Coturnix japonica: one gene and its partners. The protein of the gene in region 3 interacts with the protein of the main gene of each other region in a biochemical or structural test. Links are inferred from orthologs where the notes say so. Each region holds a gene or a part of one and is shown on either strand. Other genes may lie near its edges. The genes, in order: CREBBP, EP300, ATF4 and CREBZF.

The links.
Region 1: the proteins of ATF4 (region 3) and CREBBP form a complex in vitro, tested with the Homo sapiens proteins (2 studies listed by BioGRID). The link is inferred for Coturnix japonica from reciprocal best matches to the Homo sapiens genes ATF4 and CREBBP.
Region 2: the proteins of ATF4 (region 3) and EP300 form a complex in vitro, tested with the Homo sapiens proteins (3 studies listed by BioGRID). The link is inferred for Coturnix japonica from reciprocal best matches to the Homo sapiens genes ATF4 and EP300.
Region 4: the proteins of ATF4 (region 3) and CREBZF form a complex in vitro, tested with the Homo sapiens proteins (2 studies listed by IntAct, with this or other methods). The link is inferred for Coturnix japonica from reciprocal best matches to the Homo sapiens genes ATF4 and CREBZF.

The regions. Positions count from the first base shown.
Region 1 is NC_029529.1:11,070,732-11,078,214, reverse strand, and holds the start of CREBBP (CREB-binding protein), read left to right. Parts: upstream 1-3,678; 5' UTR 3,679-4,075; coding exon 4,076-4,160; intron 4,161-7,483. UniProt on the Homo sapiens protein: Acetylates histones, giving a specific tag for transcriptional activation. Mediates acetylation of histone H3 at 'Lys-18' and 'Lys-27' (H3K18ac and H3K27ac, respectively).
Region 2 is NC_029516.1:45,419,373-45,426,077, reverse strand, and holds part of EP300 (histone acetyltransferase p300), read left to right. Parts: intron 1-297; coding exon 298-415; intron 416-814; coding exon 815-989; intron 990-2,654; coding exon 2,655-2,732; intron 2,733-3,624; coding exon 3,625-3,734; intron 3,735-4,201; coding exon 4,202-4,357; intron 4,358-5,393; coding exon 5,394-5,834; intron 5,835-6,244; coding exon 6,245-6,433; intron 6,434-6,705. UniProt on the Homo sapiens protein: Functions as a histone acetyltransferase and regulates transcription via chromatin remodeling. Acetylates all four core histones in nucleosomes. Histone acetylation gives an epigenetic tag for transcriptional activation.
Region 3 is NC_029516.1:46,169,669-46,177,163, forward strand, and holds ATF4 (cyclic AMP-dependent transcription factor ATF-4), read right to left. Parts: upstream 4,452-7,495; 5' UTR 4,248-4,451; intron 3,288-4,247; 5' UTR 3,190-3,287; coding exon 2,976-3,189; intron 2,444-2,975; coding exon 1,593-2,443; 3' UTR 1,505-1,592; downstream 1-1,504. UniProt on the Homo sapiens protein: Transcription factor that binds the cAMP response element (CRE) (consensus: 5'-GTGACGT[AC][AG]-3') and displays two biological functions, as regulator of metabolic and redox processes under normal cellular conditions, and as master transcription factor during integrated stress response (ISR).
Region 4 is NC_029516.1:170,212,604-170,220,027, forward strand, and holds CREBZF (CREB/ATF bZIP transcription factor), read right to left. Parts: upstream 4,133-7,424; 5' UTR 4,007-4,132; coding exon 3,156-4,006; intron 2,681-3,155; coding exon 2,632-2,680; 3' UTR 358-2,631; downstream 1-357. Other genes in the region: CCDC89 (coiled-coil domain-containing protein 89), read right to left, coding at 5,151-6,207, 7,153-7,199.

The DNA of each region.
Region 1 (7,483 bases), on a different chromosome or scaffold from region 3:
GATTTTCAGATGGGTTGGGAAGCTGGGCGAGAGCTGGTGGCAGGCAAACAAAGCTGTAGTGCGGCAGAGCCCAAAGACAGCTACTTTTCATTGCACATTGACTTAAAAGTGATTTATTTTGTCAAAAAGCAAATGGACTATTGTCTCTCAGACAGCGCAAACCAGGATTTCTGAGAGCAGCGACCCAGAATAAGAACCTAAAGACAGATTTATATGCATTTTTCATAACAGTTTGTTAGGCACGGCCAAATTACAGGCCAGCGGCAGCAGAAGGGCTTCACGTTTGTGATGTGAGAAGAAAGGACCACTCCTAGGGAGGGACTTGTTTGTGTTGGTGACAGAAGACTGAGCGACATCCTGAGCTGTTGTTTGCACTCCTGTGAGGTCTGCACTTGTTAAACGGATGGTTCCTCTGCGCTGGAATCACACCAGGGCTCTTGGCAGGTGATGGGCAGAACTCTGAGCAGCTCACAGCAATGCCCGGGTTTACATCCCATCCCCACATGACTCTATTAAACACTTTGAATTGATTGTATTGCTTTGAAATGTATTTATATGCCTACAGCCAAGGGTAGCGTCTGGCTGATACTTAACAGCATGATATTACTGGATGGCACCTTGGAAGCAGGGCTTGCAACCTGCAGATATTTTCTTCTACAGAAGATGAAGGAAGCAGATTTTGGGATGTGAATTCCTTGGGCAGAGCCTGACGGAGGGTTTGCAGTGCAAACATCAGAGCCAGAAAGAAGTTCCATCGCATGGAGCTGCTCCACAGTTGGTGGTGTCTATGCAGGTAGATGTGCTTGGGGAAGACGGGCAGCACCTCCTTCAGCAGCTGGGAGGAGGGGAGATGGGGGATGCTGGGCTTTCTGTGTGTTGGGACAGATCCATTGGGCAGCAAACACAGCAGGTAAGGCAACAGAATGCTGAGATGTAACACTGCCAGGAATAACGGGCTGTTTCATTCTGAGAACTGTCCTGATACCACAGCAATTACAAGTTACAGAGCTGAGCTCCTCAGCAGTTACTCAGACACTGTTAATTGTTTGGCTCTAAGGATCTCGGGTCACCTGCTGTAGCAGTGATACTTCCCTATTTTGGCTATGGGCAGGAAGATGGGATCGCAGGCACTGTGTCTTCAAGCAGCTTAGTTTTGGAGACGGGAAGTCTGGAAATGGGCTGCAGCAGCGCAGAGTTTATTATGCAGTTTCTCTTGGAACTAGTCCCTGAATAAAGGGGATATCCATGAAGCACCTGCTCCCAAACACCACCTGTGAAGTCCTCAGGAATCCGTGCTTCATTCTCAGCTGTAGGAGCAGGGAGCAGGGAGCCACAACTGGTAGGACTGGGTGTGAGTTTGCAGTGTCAGGGCTCATCCGTGTGCTCCGAAGAACCTTTCTTCCCCTGAGTCCTCCTATACTATTTGGGCAGCCTGCTGGGCAAGTAATCATAGCCCTATTTCTAGGGGTAGCTGTGGTTAAGGGTCAAGGCCTTTCATGTACGCCATGCTATTGTGATCCCATGGCAGGAGGCAGTTGGGGCCACCCTAAGCAGACCTGAACACAGCAGCAATAGGATCGTCTCCCTCCTCTGCTGCCCTGGGATATGGGATTCCCTCCCTCCAAAGCACCTCCTTACGCTCCCCAGGACTCTCAGCCTGGCAGGCACATTGATACACAAGCTGTGCTTATAGTTGTGGTGGTGGTAGTGATGGTGGTGCCCCTTTGCAGCAGCTGGACATCCAGATCTATAGTACTGGTACAACACCAGCATGTAGCCCATAGCCAGGCAGCACAAACACCTTCCTGCAGGTAAGCTGGGTGTCCACACACATCTGTCCCCACTAAGTCCCCATCCTGACTTTATGCATGGACAGGCACCATGTAAATAAATACGGAATTTGCAAGTAAATGTAATGAAACGCATGGAAATACAGAAGTAAATGTGATGAATAGGAGCTGAGCCGTAAACAAAAAGGTATCATTATAGATCTCCTTTAAACCAATGCAGAGGTGTTGATTGATCTGGCCCAGCTCATGGATTTCATCAGCATCCTCAGCGCTGTATCCGTGCCCTCCTTCATTCTGTCCTCCACTGCTGTGTGGTCTTTGGGGACACGTCGATATATTGATGCTGAAAACAGCCCCGAGCATCTAGTTTGGGTACGAGGCGCTGTGCTGCCTTGGCATGGCACGTCACCGGGGCTTATAGGACCTGCTTCTCAGGTTGGGAACCAGTATGGAAATGCGCTGAAGCACATGAGCTCTGGTCCTACAAACCTGTTTTGTCCAGGGATGTCTGTCTAGACAGAATGCAGGTGTTTCTGAAGCCAGGAGCCTCCTGGCGCCGTGGCTGCGGTGCCTGAGAGCAGCCCTTGTGTATGGCTGTGATGGCAGAGGGCTGAGCACCTTGGATCTGCAGGAAGGAACCCCTGTGTATGGCCATGGCCTTGTGCAGGGTCTCAGTGCAGGGTGCTGAGTGCAGGCCTGGGGTCACCACCTGGAGTGGGTGCTCTGACAGAGAACCAGGGGCTGCCCCAGGGGGTCACAGATCAGTGGGAGGCACAGGGGGAGGATGGGTTGAAGATAAGCCAAGGGGAGCCGGGCACTGCAGGGGGACAACGAGATGTGCAGCACGTGGGGCTGAGCTGACGGTATGAGGGACTGAGGGGGGAGAACGGAGGGACTGCGGGAACGGGACTGACGGACACAGCCAGGGGCGGCAGCGGCGGAGCCGAACGACACCGGGTCACAGCGAGGGACGCCGAGAGGAGCCCATAGGAACAGAGGGGAGCCCATAGGAGCCCATAGGAACAGAGGGGAGCCCATAGGAGCCCATAGGAACAGAGGGGAGCCCATAGGAACCCATAGGAACCCATAGGACCCCATAGGAACCCATAGGAACCCATAGGAGCCCATAGGAACCCATAGGAGCCCATAGGAGCCCATAGGAGCCCATAGGAGCCCATAGGAGCCCATAGGAGCCCATAGGAACCCATAGGAGCCGGGAGGAGCCCATAGGAGCCCATAGGAACCCATAGGAGCCCATAGGAGCCCATAGGAGCCCATAGGAACCGAGGCCGTGGGCCCCGCGGACGCGGCGGATCAAGTGAGGACGATCTCGGCTCTTTCCGGCTCCGCTCGCTCCTTTCCGGCGGGGGCGGGGGGCGGTCCCGGTACGCGGTGACGCAGCGCGCAGTGCCCGCCCCGTTCCCGCCCCCACGGGCTCTGGAAAAGAGAAGAGAAAAAAAAACTTTTTTTTTTAATTGAGGAATCAACAGCCGCCATCTTGTCGCGGAGCCGGAGCGCGGCGCGAGCGGAGCGGGGCCGGGCCGGGCCGGGCCGGGGCAGCGGGGTCCGCCCGCGGGGACACGGGGCAGCCGCGCGGAGCGCCGCCAACGGGCAGCGGGGCTCGGGGCGGCGGGGCAGCGCCGGCCGGGGCCGAACGGGCGCCGCCAGCGGGACCGGGAGCGGCGGCGGCGGGCTCATTGTTTTGGGGCGTTTTTTGTGGTTTTTGGGTTTTTTTGGTTTTTTTTTGTTTTTTTTTCCTGATTTTTTTTTTAATTTTTTTTTTTAATTTTTTTTTCCCCCCTGCCCTCCTTCCCCCACCCCTCTCTCTCTCACCCCCCTCCACCCCCGCCCTCCTCGGCCTCGGTTCGCCCCGCTGGGGTGAGGGGCGGCGGGCGGGGGCCGAGGCCGAGCGTTCCCCCGCACCCCCCCCCCTCCAACCCCCCGGCGCGGAGGGGAGGGGACGGAGCTCGGAGCGGCGGAGCCGGGGGGGCCGGCTATGCTCCCCGAGTGAGCGCCGGACCCGCCATCCGGGCACCGCGGCGGCAGGGCGGGGGAGCGGCCGGGAGGAGCCGGCAGGGAGGGGGCGCTTGGGCTCTTCCCCCCAGCCCGCCCCGAGCCCTCCTCCCTGCGGCCTGCTGCGGCGGCGGCCCCGGCCATGGGGGAGCGGAGGGGGCCGCCGCCGGCCGGGCACTGAGCGGCGCTGTTGTTCGGTTTCCTCCTCCTTCCCTTCTCGCCGAGCTCCGGGAGCGCCCGAGCGCCTCGGACGGGCCGCGAGCGGTTAAAGCATGGCGGAGAACTTACTGGACGGGCCGCCCAACCCCAAGCGAGCCAAGCTCAACTCGCCGGGCTTCTCCGCCAGCGATAGCACAGGTGAGGCCGCGGGGCGAGGACGGCGGCGAAGGGGGGGGGTGCGGGCGGGGCCGGGTGCGGGCGGGACCGGGGAGCGCTGGGCACCGAGCGGCGGGGCCGGGTTGAGGCCTGAACCGCGATCGTGAGGCCGGGCCGGAGCTTGGGAGGACGATCCGTGCCGGCTGTACGACACCGAGGCGTCTCCGGGCCCGGCCTGCATTACACATTACACCTCCCAGCCGCGCGGTGCTGCGTAGCCGGAAAGTTTAGTGCAGGCCTCCGGGTCGCGTTGCGTGCGAAAGTTTGGCGTCAGCGCCGTGGAACAGCGAGAAGCGCTTCGGTAACGCGGTGCTTGTCCGTCACTAGCGGGGATAAGGAGGAGAGGAACAGAGGAACAGAGGAACCCCGGGCAGCGAGCACACTCGGGTTGGAAAGAAGTGTTTTCTCGTCGCCCGCTCGTAGCCGTGATTATTTCATGGGGTTTCCCTTTGTCTCGTGGTGCTGGCGCTGTCGATGGGACTCGTACAGCCCGGTGCTTTATGGCTGTGTCGGTACTCGGGACTTGCCCGCTGTGTGTAATGGTGGATCCCAACTCCGACACGGGGTGGGTGTTTTGCACCCGAGCGGTTTAACTCCGCTCTGGCTGTTGTCATCTGTGCCAGCACAGCGTCATGTTGGACATTGGTTCCTCTGCTCCCCCGAGGCACCGACCCCGCTCACAGCACCTTGCTGTACCGCTGCCATCTACGTGTGTCCGAGGAGTTTGACACCAACATGTGCACGAGGTGCAGGAGCAGAGCACATAACACACCGGGCTGGTTTGATGTAGCAGTCTGTAGCGTTATGGTCATCCCCCCCATGCTTTTTCTCTTCCATTTCATACTTAGAGTGATAGCTGTGTATGCACCTGGGGTTTTATGATGTTGGTTCTTTTCTCTTTTTCTTTAAACACCTTGAAATTAACACCACAACTGAACGTGCTGCCTCGGCCGGTGGCTGTAGAGCTGCTGGAGCTGCTGGGCCAACGCCAGAAATAAGGAAATAAAGCAGCATTCGGGGTCAGCCCCGCTGGACCGTGAAGATCTGTGAGATAACTCCCAGCTCTCTGGTGCAGGTTATTCACTTTCTGTTCCATCCAGGTGTTCCTGGAAGTCACGACTCCAGTCCAGCCCTGCTGGTTATATCCACAGCAATGCACCGCGTTCAGATCTTGTGCCTGTAACTTCACATGCAGCAATTCCCCTCTTGTTGGGGTCTGCTTGCAGTGGAGGTTCTGCTCTCTGCCGTTACCTGCTCACAGAACAACACGTGCAGCAGCTGTGCTGTGTTATTGCAGCGCTGTCTGAGAACGCGGGATTGGAAAGATCCCGCAGTTGGTCCTTCTGCAATGAGAAAACATGTGGGACGACTTAGAAATCCGACACTTCCATCCTAATTTGGTTTACACTCTCAAGAATTTTTGCTTTGTAAATCCCCCCTTTTTAACATATGTTCTGTTTTCCATCTGTCTTCTCAGATGTCTGAGATGCAGAGAGAACCTAATGCTTGTATTTGGAACGCTGGCTTCAATAGGGATGTCTCAACAAATACTATTGCGTAGAGTCGGGGTGTGAATCAGAAGGGATCTGCAACTTTATTATCAGTGCTAAATCAGCCACTGAGAGCTCGGAATCTCAATCTTTAACCCGGACACACACGCTCTTCAAAATCTTCACTGAGAAGTGAAGTCTTAACCATTATTTGGGTAGGTCTGTTGCCATTGATTTGCATCTGTGTTCATATCCACGTACGTAATTGCTTCTCTGAGGGTATCCCTGCAGCTGTGGGAGCTCGCTGGGAATGTTGTGCTGTCCATAGGAACTCCAATGTCACACCATTGCAGGCTGCAGCCCTGCCTGTGTGCTGTCCCTATTGCCCTGTCCCTATGTGATGGGTGCTGCAGTGGGTGTTGCCGTGCAGGTGACCTGACTTTTGTGTCGTAGTTTTATCTAATGGGGCAAAGAAAGCTGGAAATCTCACATGTCCATCTGTGCTGTGGTGGCTGCAATGCTGTTTCCTAAGTTTCACGGACTCCTTAAGGAAGGTGTTAATGAGAGGGATTCAGAACAGCCTCTGCTCGCTGCAATCAGTGCTTTGCAGTGAGGCAGATTGGAGCAGATGCCGGTTGTGTTCAGTCGCTTGTAGTTGGAAGCTTTAAGAGTCAGATGTATTCTAGAAAGAAAAGTTTCACGTGGCTGCGTGCTGTTGGTTCCTTCTGTGCATTTGGTGTGTTTTGTGATGTGTGCTTTGTGCCTCATTGCAATTGCTGTCAGGCTGCTCTCCCTCATCGTTTGGTCCCAGAAGTAGGCAGGGAAAAAGGGCATGAAAGGAAACATCACTGCTGCAGATCATGAAGGAGATGCAAAAGTTGCTTTTTTACTATATTTTTGCCCAGCTTTTAATTCTTTTTGTTTCTTAACTCCACTTGTAAGTGCACGTTAATCCTCGCTGTTCTGTTCCTGGTAGATAGACCTGCTGTGTGACAGCCCTGCACACAGGTGAGCGCTTCCATGCGCTGATAGAAGGCCGGAGCTCTCCCTGCCGGTGCCATCACTCACACTGAGGAGGATGGAGCCATTTAAAATGTGCAGCACCTCATGTCGACCCGTGTCTTTGATAAGCAGCCGGTAGGCAGGGAATGGCACAGCCACTGTCGAGATAACGTGCATCATGGGGAGCTGTCGTGCTGTGCAGTGAGGGGGGCACAGCAGTGGATCCGTCATGGTGTGGGATGGCTGAGGGCATCCCCAATGCTGACGGTGTTTTGTGCTGCTTTAAGCAAGTGCCTGCTGCTTATGACTGCCTTCTCACGTGATTTTGCTTTAAATGGTCACCTCAAACTTCAACATCTTCTCAGCTGTTAAATAGGATGCCGGGAAAGATGCACGCGTTTGTGGTAGGATGAAAAAGCGAGACCTCAATTCCATTAATATGCTTTGAGAACCCTAAAATATTGAATCTTCACCAGGGTGATTTTCTGAAAGCAAAGCCAGCTCCTGCAGCTCCTGCCTGCAGCTCAGCTCCTGCAGCAAGGCAGCTCGATGAGCCGGGCTGTGCTGCGCAGCCTGAGAGCTGCGTGTGCTGCCATGGCTCACGTGCTGCTGTTGGTGCTACTGGGGAGGATTTGAAGCTGCTGGTGAGAGCTGCCATAGCGGCACTGTCAAAACAGTGGAGACGCCTTGGGAAGCAATTAAGAGGAGGAACAGTTACAGAGAGGCTGTGCAGGACTGGAGGGAAGCACAGTGGATCCATCGTTTCCCATCCGATGCTTCCAGAACGGCCCACGATGTGTTTCTCCTGCCACG
Region 2 (6,705 bases), about 750 kb from region 3:
TGGGCTGGGATGCAGAGCTTGTAAGGGTCAATGAGAAGGAAAGGCAAGAAGTGTGATGGGAGGTGTTCTTGCATTTCTTGTCCTTCATGGAGATGCACATGCTGCTTTGGGGCTGTTGTCTGGGAAATGTTCCATTCCATACTGAGCCCATCAACACACCTGGAGCATCACTCAGGGACAGCAGCAGTGCCTCAGTCCCTCAAAAAATTGCTTATTGCTTTCTGTTCCTATCAGTTGGGGTTAGTGCTGAGGTCCAGGTTTGGAAACATCCTAATAGCTTGCATGCTTTTTCTTCAGAGTCCAAGCCATATTTCCTACACCTGACCCTGCAGCATTGAAGGATCGGCGTATGGAGAATCTGGTGGCATATGCTCGGAAAGTGGAAGGCGATATGTATGAATCAGCAAACAGCAGGGTAAGATGCTGTCTTCTGTCACCTGGTTGTGTATCTCTAATCCCATCTGGTAGTGGTTGGAGAGGAAGAGGGGTAGAAAACAGAGGGTCCCAGAGCTGCTGGCTTGAGTCTAGGAACCAGCCAGCTGCAGATGTGCTGGGATTTGGGATGGTGCCTGTTTTGCTGTTCTATGCCTGAAATGTGCTGGATGAAAAGAAAAATTTTGTGTGGTGCCCTGATGATTGTCAGTTCCTGTGTTTGCCCACAAACCTCCCTGCCAGCCCTGCAGAGGGGAAGCTTCCTCCCTCCTGAGTTCGAATGTGCATGTTGAAGGATGTTTTCCAAGCTTTGCTGAGTGTGACCTGTTGCCTTATTTTAACGTCTCCTTCCCTTTCCTGGATTGTATTCCTCTCCCAACAGGCAGAGTATTATCACTTGCTAGCTGAGAAGATCTATAAGATTCAGAAGGAGCTGGAAGAAAAGCGAAGAACAAGGTTGCAGAAGCAAAACATGATACCAAGTGCTCCAGGCATGCCACAAGCTCCTGTGAATCAAGGACCTAACATGGGTCAGCCTCAGCCAGGGATGTCTGCAAGTAAGAACAGTTGGGTTAGTTGTTGCTTGGTACGGGTCAAATATATAGTGTTTTTCTGGTGTGCTGGTGAGCATTTTGGCAGTATTGTTTCATTGATACCTTGTTTACCCATCGTTAAACTGAACTTATTCATCTCTGTTTAGGAGTACTTGCAACATCTTTGTTTTGCTTATTTGTTAATTAATGACCATAGATTATCTAAAATTATTTGGTCTTGTGAGTATACTGAAGTATCCTAACCCTGTGTGCTAGATGAGAGGAGATAGAGGACATTGTAGAAATTCAGTCTCATTAATCTCACTTCTAGAATTGACTGGTAGTGTCTGAAGTTAAAACACGTTTTAATAGTATTTAACTGTCTGGTGTTTGAAATGATTATTGTTGCTGCTAAGCAGGAAGTCTGATAATCAAATTGTTTTCTACAAAATGTATTACTTATGCCTTTGAAAGTTCAGGTAGTGCTTGCCCTGTGCCATGTTTGTTTGTCGTGTTTGATGGTTTGGTTTGTTTTTTTGAACAAATAATTCTTATAGTGTGCTGTGACAACCAGGTTTCATTATTTTTCCCTATGTAGTTGTCTTGTGTTTCACAGTAGTTCTGTTAATGGACACTTATAATGCTAAACAGGTTATTACTATTATATTTCCTTATAACTAGGCATTTGCATGTTGAAGTGACTTTGGAAAGGAGCTAATGATCAAAGTTGTAATGCTACTGAGGACTGTTATCTTTTCACAGCATTAGGAAGTTATAGGACACAGTAGGCTTTGCCAGGTAACAGGTGAAAACAAGTAACACTAGTTCTTGCACTTGATATTTCTCTTCCATTCATTCGTTCCTGCATGGTTTTTAGATACTTCACAGTTAAAAACTGAGCTCTGAAGATGTCTAATCAGAGTAGATGTATAGCAGTCAGTGACAATATAATAAATTGTCCTAAGAACATGGAGTCAAAGTCAGAATTAGTCAGTTGAACAGGTAAGAATCAGGGGTTATTTTTCTTATGCTGCACGATGATCCAGTAGTTCCAGTGATATGCTATAAGAAGCTTAATCTGAGGGGTTTTTCTCCTTTTTGAATATGAATGTATATTGGTAATTCCAGTCTGGATCTTTTCATACTTGAACTTAGAACTGGGTTTACCAATATGCATTACCAAAAAGCAGGAAAGGCCTTTAAGATTGGTACTATGAATTTATTTGTTGTAACTTCCTCTAGATCAGGAGTAGATGTGATATTTTGGTTGTTTATCCCATATGCTAGAAGAACCAAACTTTGGAGATTTGATAAAGTACATCAAACCAGCCCATTTTTATAGTGTTTTCAATCAGGAGGTGCAGTAATAGCGTAGAGTAGTTTGCATAAATTCCTGTGGTCTGGAATGTTCACAAGCTGCTGAGTTTTTCATTGTACCTCAATAACATATTTCATATTTGTCCACATTTTAAAATCTGTCTGCAAGTCAGAATATCTTTAGTTAACTGGATATCAATTGGGTTTTACCTCATACTTGAGGGACTCTTAAGTATGCTTAGTTTAAAATTACTGGACAGTGTCCATGCTTGTTTTTTTTAACTCTTTTTTACAGGAAGATTTTCACTAGAATGATTAAAAAACTGGTGGTTTCTAAATGCCATAATCTTATTCCAGAATCTTTTTTTACAGATGGTCCTATAGCTGACCCCACACTGATACGTGCTAATGTGCCAAATCAGATGATGAATCGCATGCAGGCACAGCCAGGTAAATTTTATATGAAAATTTGCTACTGTGATTGTGAAAGAATTGTGGAGTTAGGTAGCTCTTGCTGAAGTGTTGTAGCCTTCGTTTCACCTGCTGTATTCCCACTTGTCCTGTACAGCCTGCTGTAGGGAGCCTTCTTTGCAGGGGGGTTGGTCTTGATGATCACTTGAGGTCCCTTCCAACCCCTATAATTCTTTATTCTGTGAGACCAAGAAAATAGATCTGTGCTTTATATACATATATGCGTGTGTGTATATAAATATTTGTGTGCGTTTCTGTGCACAGTGTTGTTTCATTTTCTTGGAGATGTGAGCTGCTTATTACTGCTTGCTTAGTTAAATGAGGAACTTAATTTTTTTTAAATTATTTTTAAGTTTCTGTGTGAACATGAGATGGTAGACCCGATCAGCTTAGGGTGAGGGCATGTCCAAAGCAGAGGGAGGATGATGAAAATTGCTGCTCTGGGGTAGAACCTTGGTTGTATTTTCAAGAAGTATTGCAGCCAATATAAGGAGCACTTAAATGAAGATTCACAGTCAGGATTTGCAATAAATTAACTTCTAGTCATTAAGATAATGCAAGCTATCACAAATTGTATGTGGGATTAAGTCCTTCAGGGGAAAAAAAGCCAATACGTATTCTGAAATAGCTTCAGTGCTTAGTACTTAAAATTGTTCTGTTAACTGACCAATAGGAGAAGAAGGTATTTCCATTACGTGCTTTCCATGGCATGACTGGAAATTTTTTCTTTAAAAAAAAAAAAAAAAAGAAAAAAAAGAAACTGACAGCATTCTTCAAATGTTGAATGGCGCCCAAAGGAGAATTCAGGCCTCTGATCATAAGTGGTTTTTTTTTTGTTGTTTGTTTGTTTGTTTTTGTCACAAATGTGCAGGAATGAATCAGTTTGGCCATATGAACATGCAGCTGTCACCAATGGGACCCCGGCAAACTCCTCCTCTTCAGCACCCTGGACAGCTAAGCCAGGCCGGGGCCATGAACCAGGTCAGTGTGCTTCCCTTCATCTTGGGTATTCAGCTCATGGGTTTCTGCTGTTGTGCCTTCCTTAAAATAAGCAAACAAAAACAAATACAATTTAAACATTATTCCTGTGTTCTGTAGGCACTTTGGCTTCTTATTTCTGCAGTGCCACAGAAGATGTGTCTGGTATGTGGTCAGCCTTGGTGATTTAATTAAAAATACATGTAATTTCCTTCACTGAAAACTAGGTTAAAGTGGAGTTTTGGGCTATTGCTCTCCTGAAGCAAGGAACAAATTGAAGTCACAGTCTGAAATCAGTATCCCTTTGGTTTGCAGATGTCATAATTTCTAACTTTTGAGAGTTATAGTAGACCTTCCATACTGTATCCTATGCATAAGTATCAATCAATCACACAATTTCTGAGGTGAGATAACTGTTTTTATAACATACGACAAAAGTATATGAAATAAGTTCCTTTCTTTTCCAACAGATGGGATTTCCTTCACGTATGCAACAACCAGGAGTTGGCCAACCTTCTGGTCAAAATCAGTTTCTGCAGCAGAACCCATTCCCTGCTTCTTCCCCAGGAATGAATGCAGCGAGCATGCCTATGACACAAACTAGCAATCAGACACCAGTTTCTCAAGTAAGTTTCCGATTTTTGGAGGTTGTGTTAGTGGGCTCTGTCATATGATGTTTTTTTATGTTCAAGTTTGTAATAATGGAGAATAATTTGTTTTATCAAGATGCTATTGGAGCTGTAACCATCTGAATTCATTTATTGAGGCTCAGCATTTTCCTGGCTATTGTGCTGGTAGTGGTATGGGTAAAATGTTGGCTTGTTCTCAGGCTTAAGTTTAAGTGACAGAGAATTATTTAAGTTTGTATCTGTGAAGGAAAGAGCTTGTTGCTCGTATATCTTGCTCATATAGTAAAGAACAGCAAAGCAGTAGAGACTGAGAAATTAAAAGATGCTGGAAGAACAAGGCTTAAAAAGGCATGTCCAACCACAACCATCAAATGTATTTTGCTGCCCTTTGGGGAATAGGATGGTTGTCACTACTAAAGATTGGAACTTCCAGTCTAGCAGTTTCTTTTCTGTCCTTTCCCTCTCCCTTTTCAGTGAGAACCTTTCAGGCCAGGAAGAAGTAGGGAACGTCAGTTTGCTTCTCGTTGATGCTTCTTCCTAGTTTGCAGGCAAGATTATTGTGAAGTGACAGCTTTTTTTTCTTGACCAGTACATCTTTTTGTAATCTCATAGCGCAGTTGCAGCTATATGTATTTCTGATGATAAATTCAGTTTCTAGTCTTGTGGGTGGGGGCATGGGCACACTGTATTTGAATCCATTCTTTCCACTGTCATGTATCGCCGCATATTCAGGGTGTACATATCTGCATTTTTTGAAAGAAATGTTTTGCAAACTGCAGGTGTAAGTGTGTCATTCTTTGAATGTATCGATGAGTATTATTTACTCTGAAACTTCTGTTTTAGAGCTGAGTATACTACAAACAGCTATATGTTCAAGTGATACAAAATGAAAAGCCTGTTTCTCCTTTTGAAATATATATATATTTTTAAGTTTGTCACTTTTTGAAAGAGTATGCCAGTAACTGTGGGAAAGCAGCCGTTTTAACATCTTTCTATTTGAAGTCATTGCAGATGTGTACTTGTTTTCCCACAGGCACAAATGAACAGCTCTTCCTGTCCTGTGAATTCTCCTGCCATGGCTCCAGGCTCTCAAGGGAGCCATATTCACTGCCCACCTCTTCCACAGCCTCCCATGCACCGAAATTCTCCTTCTCCAGTACCAAGTCGAACCCCAACACCTCACCATACACCCCCAGGCTTGGGATCACAGCAACAGCAGGCGGCAGCAGCTGCCACCACTGTCCCCACCCCTACTCCTCAGGCAATACCACCTGGACCACAGTCACAAACTATGCATCCCCCTCAGAGGCAGACTCCAACACCTCCGCAGGCACAGCTGCCTCCACAAGTCCAGCCTCCAGTTCCAGTTGCCCCCTCTGCAGAGCAGCAGCAGCAACCGTTGTCACAGCAGAGTACAACAGCGTCAGTTCCCACACCAACAGCACCACTGCAACCTCAGCACCCCACAACACCTGTAAGTAAATATTTTAATTGAACAAATGGGCAAATGTAAGGTTTAGGATCTGGTATTTCCACAGAGGAAGTAATTCTTTTCATGCATGTTGAGAAATGCACAGTGAAATATGCATGGGAGGTCATTAGTTATGTCTGCATATGCATAGTGATGGCATAGAATAGGGAAACAATATGAAATTATATACTAGACCTTCCAGTGAATGTCTGCTGTGCTTTCTTCTATAACTAGACTTGTGTTAGCAGTATGTACTTCAGGTTAAGCAAGTGGAAGTACCAAAGTGAATTTGAACTTGATGGAAATAAGGTTATAGGTAAAAGGTAGATCAGAGCATAGAAAAATAATAGGTTAATTAGAAGTCTGTCTGTAATGTGTTTTGGTTTTTTTTGTTTTGTCTTTTTACTCCTTAGCTGTCACAACCAGCTGTAAGCATTGATGGGCAGGTGTCCAACCCCCCATCCACCAGCAGCACAGAAGTGAGCTCACAGCAGACTGCAGCAGAGCAGCAGCAGCCACCTTTGCAGGAAGTGAAAATGGAGATAAAAACAGATGAAGGGGAACCAGAACAAACAGAGCTGCAGATGGAGGAGAAATCTGAGGTGAGCTGTCGGTTTGTTGTTGGAGAGAATAACTGCTGTTGTTAGCTCCTTGGTCTCCATGCAAGCTTGTCCTTTTAGACTTCAGTTTGTATGCTACCTACTGCTGTGGTTTTGTCACCTCCCTTACCTCTTCCTAAAGAAGGGTCTCTGTTTTGTGGTAAAATTATGGTAGAAACCAGTGACCACAATAAGGACTGTGATAACATGGTTGGAACTGTGAAGTTTTTTGGTAAATGCTAATGTAAGAAGGTGCTCAAGATGCTCATTTGAAT
Region 3 (7,495 bases):
TTTGTATGACTATCCGTAGTTACATTAAAGAGGATTAACAGCACCAGCCACTGACTGTTGGGGGCAGGGGAAATGGAAATCATGACGGTTGCTCTGCCTGCAGGGTTACATACACCTTGTTCTTAAGGAATTAGCTGTTGGCAGGGCTGAGCAGCAACCTAGCCAAGTTGAGCAGCACCATTTGCATGCAAGAAAGCTTATTTATCTCCTCCACTAACTTGTAATTAATGGAGGGGAAAGAGGATGTTCTTTTCCAGTTGTCCAGGCACTGCAGTGGTGATGCAGAGGAGTCAAGTTCACAACAGGCATCCTGTGCTTTGGAGATCCTCTGCCCTATATAAATTAACATGGTGGTTCTGTCACCACAATACATGGCCAACATTTCCCTGCCACCAGCACAGTGCTGAGGAAGACACCTCTCCTGAAGGACATCCTGTCCTTGCTGCTGTTCTGGACTTTCCGCCAGGGCTCTTTGGAAGCATTTGCCATCATTTCATACTCCAGCACTGCAAATGGAGGTTATTTTTGCCCCTTTGGTTATTCACAGGGGTAAGCGGTGGAGTCCTCAGCAGCAGCGTTTTCCTCTTCTCGTTTGCAAAGAGAAGTAAGAGCACCTGGGTCTCTCTAAATGCATGAGAAAGAGGAAGGTAGCTATTAATACTGAGTTTTTATAGGGCGCAGACTGGGAAAATTCCACTGTTTCCAAATATACAGGAAAACTGGCTTCCTCTGGGGGCTCTATTTTGTGCACCAAAATCTATTTCTGGGAATGGTGTCACCATGCACGTAAACCATAGGGATTGTTGGACCACATTTGTTCTGAGCCTGTGAGAAAAGGAAGAGGCTCCTGCAGCCTGCCAATGTGAGATCAGCCAGGAGGCTCTCTAATGCTCAGATGCTTTCTCCCATCTCTTAATCCAATGCTCTTATAAATGCTAAGTGAACATGCAGAGGAAGAGCCAGCCCTAATCTCCAGCCAGTGCAAAGTCTTAACTAAGTTACTAAGTATGGAAACAGCATCATTGCAAGGGGCACCAGCATAAGATCAGCTTGTTGGCTGCCCCTGAAAGGCTGCAGACACACCAGCTCCATGTGGATGCTTGTGCAGTATGATTGGACAAGTCAGTGCAAGAGAGAAGGAATTAACACCCTGGGGAACTGCTTGAAGCCATCAGCTTGTCAAAACCCAGTAACTCCCACAAGAGACTTCTCCAAACCATATTTATAAACATACTTACATGGCTCCTTGTAAGGCTGAACCTTTATGATTTTGCTTTTGCTATTCAAGATCTGGGACTATCTCCACTTGATCCCCTCCATTTTACTAGATATCTGCAAGTATTCTCAGCTACACATGAGCTGTAACATGTACTGTATCACTTGAACCACATTAACAGTAAATGCTATTTGCACACTTGGGTGGAGCAGCACATTCCAGCTGGTTGAAGCCCCAAACGACATGGTATAAACCCTTATTTTACAGATACTCAGTTACCACACAAAATTGCAAGTTTACTATAAAATAATTTATTAGACACCACACAGCTTAAGCAGCAAGCATATATACATGCACACAAACACTACTGACTACCCTACTCAGGGACTCTAGCTCTTTTGACTTTGGCCTTCCTCACCTCTTCAATCAGATCTTTCAAGTACTGGATTTCCTTACTCAGGGAATCTGCTTTCTCTTTCAGGGCCTGATTTTTCTGTTCCAAATCTCTGCACTCCCCTGACAGAGCCTCCTGTTCTGCCCTCTTCTTTTGCCGGTAACGTGTGGCAGCAGTCTTATTTTGCTCCATCTTTTTCAATTTCTTATCTATTTTCTTTTCTCCTTTCACCTTTGCTGACACTACCTTCTCAGCAGGGTGGTCATATGGTTTAGAACGCAGAGAGCCACGGGTGGCATCTGCAGGGAACTGGTTGTCATTAGGGGATCCAAGTGAATTGGTAGGACTGTGCTGGGGCGTTCCCAAATAAGAGTCTGGGCTCATGCATATTCCACTATCATCAGAATGGTTCTCCTCCTCTTTCTCTGACTTCGTGATCACTACCAGAAAGGTGGGGGCCTCCTGTTTCCTTTCACCTTCCAGAACATCCACTTCACTACCTAGTTCTAAACTAAATGAATGGTCTGGAACAGAAGTCAGAGACCCTGGGGAGAGGGGAAAAGGCCACAGGGAGCCTAATGGGGCCATGGGATCTACTCCAATTGGAGATTCGGGGAGATTGGTGATTAGATCAGGTATGAGTGGAGGTTCTTTGTTGTGAAATTCCTGGGTGGTAGGGTTAAACAGGAGATCACACGTGTCTTCCAACGTGGCCATCAGGTCGTCTGGTGAGACGGTGGCTTCCAGATGTTCCATACCTAACAGGGCATCAAAATCAAATTCCTTCAGATCCATCTTCTCCACCATCCACTCCATGCCAGAGAAGGCATCCTCTAAACAAGGAGAAAAACAGTATATTTTTCGATGAGCCAACACAGAGATTCTATACCAGTTATACCAGAAATAGTTATATCTTCCCCCATTCTTTTTAATGGTAAAAAGATCGACTACCAGACCCCTTCCCCCTACTATGAACTGGGGAAGTCTGCATGATACTATGTATCTGTCAGCTGCTGACATTCCATCCCTCTTAGTCTTAGCTCTCTAAGAATTCAGGCCTATTTGAAACACACCACCACACTTGTTTCTTGTGACCTCTTCCAGGGAAGGCTACTCTTAATAGTTGGCATGTTATTAAAAGGGCAATGCAAGTGTCATTTTTCCACAGGCTGGTCGACTACAGAGCCATTTGCTATTGTGTATAATCAGTGTTGTATGGATGCTTCCCAGGCCAGAAGACACATACGTGATGTTACCTTTCCATTTAGAGAACTCGTGCAATTTATCTTTGAACAGGAGGATTACATTATTTATTATGTGCCATCACCTTTGGTGTTACTTCCTGCACATGAATTAGTGCCTTACCCTGGCTGCTATCTATGGTGTTGCCTAAACTGTCCACAGTGAGCCAATTGGAGGAGACTGCCTTAGCCTTGTCGCTGGAGAACCCATGCGAACCGAGGGGCTCGGCCACCTCCAGGTAGTCATCGAGGAGTCCCAGACCTTCCTCAGCCACCAAACACGGCTGGCTGAGGGGGGAGGACTCCCCCAACAGCATCTCGTTGTTCAAGAGGCTCATCTTGGTCAGGTTTTAGCGCTTTGACGTCAAAGGATGTAGACAAGGAGAGGGCCTTTTTGTTGACTACAGCAGTGCTGCTGTGCGGTGCCTTGAAAAACCTGTAAGACAAACATTTTTCGCATGCATCAGTGCTTGTTCTACTGGAAAAACAGCCTTCACAACAAAACGCAGCCTCAGGGAGAGTGCTGTTGCACCAGACTTGTACGACTGCAGCATTTTCAGGGCTGTTTGCCTCAAACTCTTGCTTTTTATTTGTTTGCTTTCATAAAAGCTTTTCTATTCGCATCTCCATTGCCCAGCACGGCATTGCCAGCCCCACGCCCCGCCGAGGCCCCGCCCACCGCGCCCTGACTCACGTCACGCCCACGCCGCAGCCATTTCGCGATCTGCCGCCTACCGCTCCCCACCCGGCCCCGCCGCCATTTTGTGCCGTGACACGTTTTCACCCCGTGTCGATGGGAACGCCATCAACGTGGAGGGGTGGGGGGGAGGGGAAGGTGACAGGACGATAGAACGACAGAGCACCTTTTGGTGCTAGGCTGACTTATGGACCAGGTGGATTCGGATGATAAATACCACGACAGCCTTACACCCTTCTATCAGGCTGGGTTCGACACCATTCCCCCCCCCTCCCCCCACAACCCTCCTCCTCCCCCGGCCAGCAGCGCCGTAGCATTAAGGGATTATCTTAATGCCCGCTCGTTGGAAGCCCCGTTTAACTCCTCCATCCGCTGTGGGAACGCCTCTATAAAGACAATCCCCTATACTACTAAGACAACCGTCTAGGGAGCTAATATTCTCACAAAAGCCTTACAAAATAGAACAGCCCTGAGCTTTCAGGATGTGGGCTTCTCTAAAATACAGGGTATTATGGCTCATTTTTCCTCTTAAAAGTGTCATTTCCTGCCATTTCCGTCACCCTCAAGTAGGTTTCCAGCCCCCACCCTATTAACCAGACAGCTTTTCCTATGGGGCGTCCGTTTCGCACCCCAGAACCCCGCTTTATGAAGCAGGGGGTGGCTGTCACACAAGGCGCACTCCCCACACGCGCTACTCACGCCATGGTTGCAGATGCCGGGGATGTGCCGAGGCCGCCGCCGCTGCTGCTGCGCCCGCTGCACTGGCCGATGCCGCCGCTGGCCCTGCCGCCCTTAGAGAGCCATGGCGGCTGGGGGGGGGGTTGGTTGGTGCTCCGGTCAGCGCCGCGCGGAGAGGTGCTACGCACGGTCACAGTTACAACCTGTCAGCTCAGCCAAGGGCACACAATGAGGTGGCAGCGCGCGCGCTCCGCTTTTATATACCTTCACGCTAATCAAAACGAGATCCGGCCTGATGTGTCCTTCCGCTCTTCGTCACCCGCCTCTCGTCAGCACCCTTCAGCCTGTAGACCTTCAACTTTCTGGGCCGCTCTCGTTCCATCCTGCTAAAGATTAACCAAAAAAGCTGTCAGCAATAACTTTTCCCTCCATCGTGGGCTCCTAGACAGAGGGACTATATGGTGTTCCTCCGCGCAAACACCGCCCAGCCGAGATGGGAGGCCACGTGATACAGCAGCTGAGGACACTCCTCCCGCCCGCCGCGGAGCGCAGGGGGATGTGGGGGGGCTGCTGCTCCTGCCCGCCAACACAGCCAGTGAGCTCTGCGCGCCGATTGGCTGGTGGCGTGGTAACCGTGTGAGCGCTGAGCCGCCATTGGCTGACGCCCGAAAAGGGAGAGATGGTGAGAGGCACGGAGAACGAGGAGCCGTAAAATGGCGGTGGCGCTGGTTCTATTCTCTGCTTCACATTTCCGTGGCGTGTTCTCTTTGAAGCACCACGCCTCCTTTGTTACTGACAGCTCTTTATGCCCTCCACACGAAGTCCTGTCCGCTCTCCCTGTGCGTTCTTAACAGCCCCTCCAGACGACGTCCAGCAGAGTTGAGGGCAGAACTTTGCTGAGGAGAGTCACTGCTCCCTCAGATAAGTGGAAAACTCCCTGCCTGCTACTTGCCCCACAGAGATAGGGCTGTGTGTTTGTGTCCCTGACACCCTGCTAGCTTTGTAGCTGAGCTGTAACATTGGCCTGGGGTGGTTTGTGAGGAGATGCAAGAGCAGCCATTACTCAATGGAGGAGAGCATTAGTGGGTCATCTACACAGCCTCACGGCCCTAGTAAACAGCCTCACCTTGGGAAGGTTTTCAAGCAGGTTTGCATTATGTTTTATCTGAACTAAATCAGCCAAATGAGAAGGCAGCCCTGCTCCATCACGTCTGGCCCTGTATGTTTATAGCAGCTCCTCTGGTCCTCACCTAGCCCTGTATGAAACCCATGGGGAACAGATGTTTTCAGTCCCCTCGTGATTCTCTGAGGACACTAAAGCACCATATGCAGCTCTGAGTGAGGAAGGTGAGCTGGGAAGGTTGCTACCCATGTTTTCTTTCACTACCTGGCCTTTGGTTGCTTTCCCACATTACCAGCCCTACAACACACCATCAGCTCTGAAGATTAATTATAGAATGACTTAGGTTGGAAGGATCATCAAGCTCCAACCCCCCTCCATGGATCCTTGCTTGCTCAAAACATTATCACCCTGTCAATAAACTCCTCTTGGCTCCACTGCAAAAGGCTCCCTTGTTTTCCATTTAGGGCTTGTTAGTATTTGTGTACAGCCATGGCCTTGGCTCAGTTTGCACAAGTATACCTGCCTGGAACTCATTAAACAGCTCCACTGATAATCCCAGAGGATGGGCATGGCCAGGGAGGACAGTCATGGCCAGGTTTCTACTTTTAGCAGCAGGATGTCACCATCACTGCAACAAATTGGGGTATGTATGTCATTCCAGCTCTGTAAACTGAACATTGGCTGCTGAAAGTAAAAATACAGCTTTTCCAATGTGCTGTGGTGTTTTGTGGCTTTTTTGTTTCTCTGTGGGTGTGTGAATGTGTTTGTTTTATTTTTGCTTTTCTAGAATCAAGCATCGATTTTTAATGGCTCACTAAGATGGAAGAGGCAGCAGAGAAAAATGCCCTCCAATATCAGAAAACACGATAGCAACTGAGTGATCTCAGATGACTCCTCTGATACGTGCACCAATGAGCAGGCAGATCTTGCTTCAAAGCAAAATTCAGAGGATGGATGCAGCAGCTACTGAAGAAGCCTGGTGGGTGATTGGCTTGGGTGGATGAGAGGCAGCATCTCTGTGTCTTGGCTGGTCGAGGGAGGGCTCTCACATCCCCCACATCCAACTGCAAAGAAAAAAGGTGTTTGTACCACTGTAACTGTAGCAAAATAAACAGAAATGCTTCTCTTGAAATGGTAATTACATATTTTTGAAGAAAGGACTCTGGGTATGTGTGAGTAAGAATTATGCAAGCAAAAATGATGCATGTCATGAGGAACTTAACCCAGATCTGCCTGTTTCCTAGCTGCCTGCTTCCCTTTTTATTTTGCAAATGTGCACATTTGTCTACATTTTGAGCACCAAACAGTTTTGGGTTTTGTTTTGGTTTTTTTTCATCATCTTCAATTCAGGAAGTGAAATGAGGTAACAAAAAGCCAGACATTTAGTAACAGTGTTATTTCTCCCTGTTTCCTGAAAGAGACTGCAGAATTATTGTTACACAATTTAATGAGACATGTCTCAATCCATTACAAAATACGTCTCTGCTTTTGCAGGTATTACATCACAGTTTTCTCCTTTGAGGAGTGAGTTTTGTGACTGAGCTGGATAATAATTCTTCAAGCTTAAGTAACCATTCCTTAGGAATTTTTTGTGCAAATAAAATAGCAAATGTTTTCTAAGCGAAGGGCTAATAGGTACTAGCTAACTCAAATGTTCCCTTTTCAGTGCTGCAGAATATGTTTGTGGCTTAGATGTGTGGAGAGAAGCCTGATAGCTCTGAAGGAAACTGAATTTGCAGCACAAAAAGATGGCTTCTGAATGAAGATTAATGTGCGTTCATGGTCAATAAACTCCTGATGACACGTTAACAGTTTTAGCTCTGCTGATGTTATTTTCCTGCCATAGGCTCCTGTGATAAGTTGGATCCATCCCTATGCAGAAGTGAGGGACCAGCTGCAGGCAAGAGGAAATGCTCATGCAGAGCTCACAGCATGATAGAGGCCAAAATGACCTTGTTGGGGAGTGACAAAATGCTCAGTTATATGCAGCACTGCAGAAAGCACCAGGAGGTAAACTGATTCTCCTCCATTCACCCTTCTTCTTCATTAAAATGGAAGGTCAGTGTATGAGCTTGCTGTTTTTACTGTCTGCTTGCCTGTCCTTCTTTCTGTCTGTCTTTCATTTTAGAAGCTAATGCTGCTAAGG
Region 4 (7,424 bases), about 120 Mb from region 3:
ATGGCAGCCCATGGAATGTAAAACCCCGCTCCTCCATGGCTTAGTGATCAAACATATTCACACTAACAAAGGGAAACAGCTGTGAAATACTAAACACAGTTATTGCTGGAGAACAGTTCTATCTTTGGTTCAAGCAATAGTGCCTTTGTTTCTTCTTTACCCCAAACTAACTTGAAAGACAAGTGAGCAAGAGCCTTCCTTCGGGATGCGCTGATCCATTTCATCTTGTGTTCCATCAGATTACCCACGCAGCACAATCTTCCCTCTTCTGATTCCCATTTTGTGTAATGAAGCACTCAATTAAAGCAAGGTACCAGTGAGAAGATAAAGATGAAGAAAACATTTGAGCCCGTCAACTGAAAGATCAACAAGTCTGATTTTATTACAGTATCGTATTCTCATCTGGATGGCACATCATTACAAAGAAACATTTACAATATATTTTCAAGTATTGAGTTAAAATCATTTCAAGGCTTCCACTTCAAAAAGCTACATTAATAATACACCATACAGATGGTACAGTTGGTTAGTTTCAAATGACCTCCTCCCCTCTATTTGGTTTAAGTATGATTCAGTAGGCACTAGATATGCCTGCAGCCACTTACTTTCTTAGACTTGACCTTGTTCTTGCACAGGTCTACATCACTGTGCACACCAGAACATCAGCCACTCTCAGACACAGCTCACAGGAGGTTTCACGGCTGGAGCGATGTGCAGCTGCATAACAGAGATCCCTGACTCCTATCGGTTTGAAGTGATGCAAAATGAAATAATGCATATTTAACTTAAAATTCTGCACTGAAGTGACTGCAGAATTGCCAATGTAACATCCCATACTTGCTGCATTAGTGTCTCCCTTCTCCTCACGCACGCTAAAATTCAAACTGAAGCATGGTTGCAAAGCCTGAGCCGGGCAGATTCAACCTGAGCTCAATCTAAATCAGTCAGCACACATCTGGAGAAGGTCCTGCCATAACCCACCACCTACTGCATGTCACACAGTTAAAGACTGAACCTTGGAACAATCCTGCCGATGCCACCGCAGTACTGCACACGTCTGAGGTCTCTCTTGTGCTGGCAGTGTACCCTGAACAGATGGAATTGTGAAAACACAGGAAGAAAACCTGCTTGATAGGATACTGCCTTCTAAAAAAGCATATCGGGTAACAGTTAATGAATCCCAGCATTCAACCTTTGTGTTTGTTTAAACAAAGACAGCAAAAGCCCTGTTTACCTCTTTATTCTCATTTCTTATATACTACCTTTTAAAACAAAGCAGGAAATGTGGCCAGCAGCTGGTCCCGTCTCTTCTGCCCCAACACAGCTGAATCCACTTTAGCATAAAGAAAAACAAGGATGCTAAATACACGTAGACTTTATCACACAGTGACGTTTCACAAAGAAAAATCATGTTCTTCACGCCAAGGAAGTACTTGATAAGGTATAGTGCCAACAGTTCCAATTGCAGGGAGAAAACCCTCCCCCTTAGCCTTAAATACCAAATTTAAGGCTTTAAGAAACAAGACTTCCAAAACACTCCATAGAATTCTTTTTCTTCAGGAAGTTCAGAAATGAGACCAACTGAAGGAAATCTCTTCTTTGTGAAACCTCACTTTACATTTATTAACACCTTTATCGCGATCCTTCTTCCCCCAGCTGACGTACAGAAAAACCACCTCAACATTATGACACAACTGAAAGAACAACCTGCTCATCCTGGGTGATGGGGAGAAATATTCCTACCATAGAACACACGCTGCTGTTCATCAGCATTTTTCCTCCTATCTCAGTTAATCAGGAAGAATCTTTGCAATTAATTATTTGCTCATCTCCAAAACTGTGCTGAAATTGTATGATGTTACAGATTTCTGGATACTGAAGGAGCGAGTTAAATCAACATCTCTACAGTAAAATGAAGCACATGCACACACGTGAAGTTCCTTTAAAAGATAAAGCTACTCTGAAGTAACAAGGGAGTTTGAATGCAGGGGGGGCACTGAGATCACTTGGGAGAGGCACTGAGTTACTTTGTGACCCACAGCTCTCACTGGAGTTCTATGGAACAAAGTGATTTCTCTACATTAAGGTTCCACTGTACAGATGTCAGCAGTGTTCGGGTTCTGTTCAAACAGGAAAAGCTCTGCATCATGAATTAAAGGAAGGCAGGAAAGGGCATCCTAAAGGGACTGTGCATCACTAACACTAGACAGTACTTTAAACCACCAGGTCACGTTTTTCATTTAAAAGCAATTTACTTGTTCTTTTGGGGCAAAAGACTGTAAACGTCGTATCATTAGTAATATTTTCCCTTTTCCAGCTCATCAGCTTGTAGCTCAATAGAAAATTCCTATTTCAAATGGCAGAAAGCATTTACTTTTAATTCAAAACGCAGCTCACTGACCGGCTACTGTGTGCATGTTGATTTAGAACAGAAAGCAGCTACTCAGAATGATGTTTTCCACAACTGAGTTAGGAATTAGAAACATCACAGCAGGGCAGGGACCAGAGATACCATCTCCTGGGCCAGTCACCGCATGAATGAGACCGGCACAAGCAAAACAAGCTGTCTGATACCGCATTATGGGAATATATTGATCCTTACCAGGTTGCGAGGTGGGAAACGACTGCTCTTTAACCCCTACACAACGGAGCCTGGCAGGACAAGCACCTAAAAGAGAAACTGTCAGAGAGGTTTTAATAGTAACGTATAACCAAGAGGCAGCACAATTTTATACGCATGCTTTCTTTCTTTTTTGCCGTCCGGTGATGATGTCTTAATGAAGGTTTTTGGTTTTCTAAGCAAGCATTTTTTTTTTCAGCTGGGATAAGCGAACTGATACAAACCCGGCCAGGTCAGCGTTATTTCTACTGGAAGAACGGACACACCGTCCGGCCTCAGGTCGGCACCGTCTGTTCCGTGCCTAAAGAACCGAACCGAACCGGCAGCTCCGCATCAACACCACGCTCTGCTCGGCTTACGGGCCTTCCCTCGGTCACCCGGCGTTCGGATTTCTATCACCCGAAGGCGACAGTTTCCCCTCCTCCTCATCTCCCCCATCACCACCCCAGCACCGCTGTTACTTTTGCCTTCTTTCCTCCGCACCCCCAGCGGGTCGAGCAGCCCGCAGGTACACGCGGCAAGTAGCGGACCCTACGTTTTAAAGGAGGCTGCCGCTCTCCGAGCGCAGATGGAGCAGAACTCCACCGACACCTGATCCCGCTCCACGTGCAGGCAGATCCCGCCGGGTGCCGCCCATTCCTCCTCCTCGGGCTCCGCTCCCGGCGGCTGCTCGGAGCCGGGCGGCCGCGCGTTGGGCAGCGCGTAGTCGTGGTCTCCGCTGTCTCCGCCGGCCCGGAGGGGCTGTTGTTGTTGTTGTTGTTGCTGCTGGAGGCGGCCGTCCCTGAAGAGGCTGGTGCCCAGGCGCAGCCCGCCGGCCCGTGTCCCGGCCAAGCGGCTCAGGAGCTGCCCCAACGCGCTTTGGTTGGCCAGCACGGCCCGCAGGTAGCCGCTCTCCCGCTCCAGCTCCCGCAGGCGGCGGCTGAGGCCTCGGTTGCGGTCCCGCAGCTGCCGGTTCTCGGCAGCCAGGCCCTGCAGGCGGCTCTCCAGCCCCAGCACGTACTGCTTCTTCTTCAGCCGGTTCAGTCTCGCCGCCGCCGCCGCCTTCAACCTGCTGCCGGCCCCGCCGCTCCGCCGCCCCCCGCGGCCGCGCCCCGCTTCTCCGCACAAACAACCGCTCAGCTCCGCGTCCCATTCCGGCCGGGCCGCCTCCAGCAGGTCTCCCAGCTCCAGCCCGGGGAACCAGTCTTCTTGTTCCCAAACCTCCGGCGGACCTTCGGCCGCCTCTTTCTCCTGTTGCTGTTGTTTGGGCCGTCCAGCGCTCGGATCACCTTCCCCGCCGCCATCCCGCCCTCTCGGGGTCTGCCCCGCTCCGGTGAGAGGCCACGCGGCTCCCGAAGGGCTCGAACCGCCCGAGGCCGCCAGCAGCTGGGTGAGGCTGTGCCGCATGGCGGCAGTGGACGGGGGAGGGAGAGCGGAGTGGAGCGGCGGTGCCGCGGTGTGTGCCGGGAAACGGCGGACGTGTGAGGGGAAAGCAAATGGGATCCTTGGGCTCCAACAGGAGAGGGGTGGTCAGCAGGGATAGGGAGGTGATCGTCCCTCTCTGCTCTTGTGAGGCCCCATCTCTCATACTGTGTCCAGGTGTGGAGCCCTCAGTACAAAAAAGACATGGAGATTTTGGAAAGGGTCCAGAGGAGGGACAGGAAGATGATCAGGGGGCTGGAGCACCTCCCCTATGAGGACAGGCTGAGGGAGTTGGGTTTGTTCAGCCTGGAGAAGAGAAGGTTGCGGGGTGACCTCATTGCAGCCTTTCAATACCTGAAGGGAACTTACAACCAGGAGGGGAGTAAACTCTTCAAAAGGGCTGACAATAGCAGGACACGGGGAAATGGTTTTAAGTTAAAAGAGGGAAGATTTAGGTTGGATGTTAGGGGGAAGTTCTTCACTAGGAGAGTGGTTAGGCCCTGGAACAGGCTGCCCAGGGAGGTTGTGGATGCCCCGTCCTTGGAGGTGTTCAAGACCAGGTTGGACGGGGCCCTGGGCAACCTGATTTAGTAAAGGCATATGTTTGGTGGCCCTGCCAGGCAGGGGGTTGGAACTACATGATCCTTGAGGTCCCTTCCAACCCGGGTCATTCTGTGATTCTGTGTGATCCAGGGGGGGAGGGGGAGAAGAACGGCTCAGGGCGGGAAAAGAGGCTGTGTGAGGGATAAAGGGTCGGTGTGAGGGAGTTTAATGGCTGCGGTGGGACGGGCCTTAAAGCACATCCACTCCTAACCCCTGCCGTGGGATGGGTGCCCCACACCAGCTCAGGCTGCCTGGAGCCCATCCAACATGGCCTTGAGCATCTCCAGAAGGTGGGGCTCTCTGAGGCCTCACCACCCTGTGAGGAAAGAATTCCTTCCTAACCTTAATCTTAACCTCTAATTTAGTTTCAAACCAAGAAATAAAAGGCTCCAGACCAGTTCCTGCAGTAGGATTTAAGCATGTAAGTACGTTACAAAGTACATCTGCTAGAAGACGGCTGCATGAACAGAAATCAGTGCTATGGTACAGTAGAGGCAACCGCTATGAACCGTGCAGAAAGCTGATGTTATGCCTTAAAGTGACGGAGTTTGATATTCAATGCTTTTTCTTTGGCCAGTAAATCCATGCTGTGCTTTTTGTAAGCGTCGAACTGCAGTGAGAGCTCGCTGTACGCCTGCTGGCTGCTCTTCAGCTCTTGCTGGAGCCCTTGGATCTTCAGATCATAGTTTGCTGCCACTTCTTTGACGATGTGCTTCTCTGCTCTCCATTTGGCTCTTTCTGCCATCTCCAGCTTCCTCCCCAGCTGCAGAATTTCCTGCTGCTTTTCTTGCAGAGCTTTGCCCCTTTCTGTGGCCAGGTTCAGTAGCTGCTGTTTCTCCTCGTTTGCCCTCTCCAGCTTGGCCTGCAGCTCAGCTCCGTGAGCCTTCTGCTGGCTTTCCCCATGCTCCAGCTGTTCCACCATTTGTTGGTGCTCCTCCTGTAGGCGCTGCAGCTGTTGTCTTAGCGAGTCAACCTCCAAGGTACAAGTGTGTGCTTGCTGGCTCTGAGCTTCCAGGAGCTCCTTTTCTAGCTGCTGGGCTCTGGATCTCTCACAAGCACATTTCTCATGTAGAACATCCAGCTGCTGCAAGAGCTCTCTGGCCTGGGCAGCAAGATGGAGCATTTCATCCTCCTTGTCCTCTGCTGCATGGCTGGAGAGGGTTTCGTTCTCCTGCTGCAGACACTGGTTTTCCTCCTTCAGCTCCGTGTTCTGTTTCTCGTGCTCATCCTTGGAGGAGATCATTTTCTCCTGGTTGTTGGCCAAATCCTCCAAGTACTGAATCCGCTCGGTCTGGTTTTTTAGTTTCACAGCATCTTCTAGCCTCAGTTTCTCCAGTTCCACGTTGAGCTGCTCCAGGCTCTTGCAGCGTTTGCGTGCATCATCTGTTTTTTTCTTCAGGATACAGATAAGGCGATGCTGCTCTTCCAGGCGTGCCCGTAGCAGAGCCTTCTCTCTCTTCTCCTCAGGGCTCCCGCAGGGTGTCTGTATGCCTTTTGTCAGATCTTCTATATATTTGCCTATCTCCTCATCGCTTGTGTGGCTGGCCACCACCGTCTCTCCATCCTCTTCGGCAGTGGACACACTGTCACACACAAAGACAAAACAACATTTCATAGAGACCACTTCTCTTCGTGACCTTCAGCAGGTTTGAAGTGTTTCCAGCTCAGCACTAAGCTGATGGACAGGGAATCCCAAGAGCAGCCCTGCAGCCTTTCCTAGCTCTGCAGACCCCAGTTCAAAGACAAGCAGAGTGAATAGAAGGATACCAGACCCCATAAAGAACCGTAAGCTTGGTATTTACACAAGCCTATTCATTTGCCAATTACAAGCTTTGGTAATTATTCCTTCTCAAAGCACTACTTGTTAGAGCTACAAGAAATACTGTTACATTGAGGTAACCAGTAGATGATAAAGCTGCAAATAATTCCTCATCAATCCTTTTCCTCTGCCTTTGTTTTTTTTTTCTCTCCTGCAGATCTGGAATTATAAATGTAAGTAGAGCATATAAAGTCAGTTCAATCCTCAAATTGATTATTTTATAGTTTTAATGGTATATTACTCATTAATAATATTAATACCCCTACACTGTGCTTAGAGATGTATGAATAAATGGTAATAATTACTGAATGAACAATAATAAAGATGGTTGCCTGGAGGGAAGGTTCCTTATTTGAGTGTTGGTGCTGATTTGCTGAGTCTTGTTTCTCATCTAAAGGTATTTATATTACAGCAGCACCACCACCATTATTAGTGCCTAATCACATGGAGTGCTACCCACATGTACCAAAAGTTTATCTGAAACCAAAGGACAACTTTGAGATGCAGACCTGCAATGACACAGCGTGTGAAATAGCCTGCTGATAATCAGGCTCTGTGACCTCCTGTGCTTCGAGGCTGGTGGTAAAGGCATAAGGAAGATTCCTCGGAGAGAGGAGTAAAGGAGAGATGAAAAACAACATCCAGCAAAAATGAAACCAAATCTGCCAAGTCTGGACAAGATGCCAAGCTGTGACTTGTGGGTACTCACCTTCCACTGCTGCAGCTGCTTTGGCTCCTGCCACAACATTCAGCCATAAGAGGGAAAAAACCAGAAGGCTGAGACTATCCAGTGGAAAAACAACAGAGAGAGGGGCTCAGCAGGACAAATCTATTCTGTTGCCAGGTGTTTTCCTTCTGTAGCCTGTTTGTTGACACTCCTAGAATGGGGCTTGTGTCCATGGCAATGCAGGTCTGAATGGGTCACTCCAGAATCCTGCCTTCATCCAGACATTGTGGAAGTAACTGGGAGTAGTTCTTAGT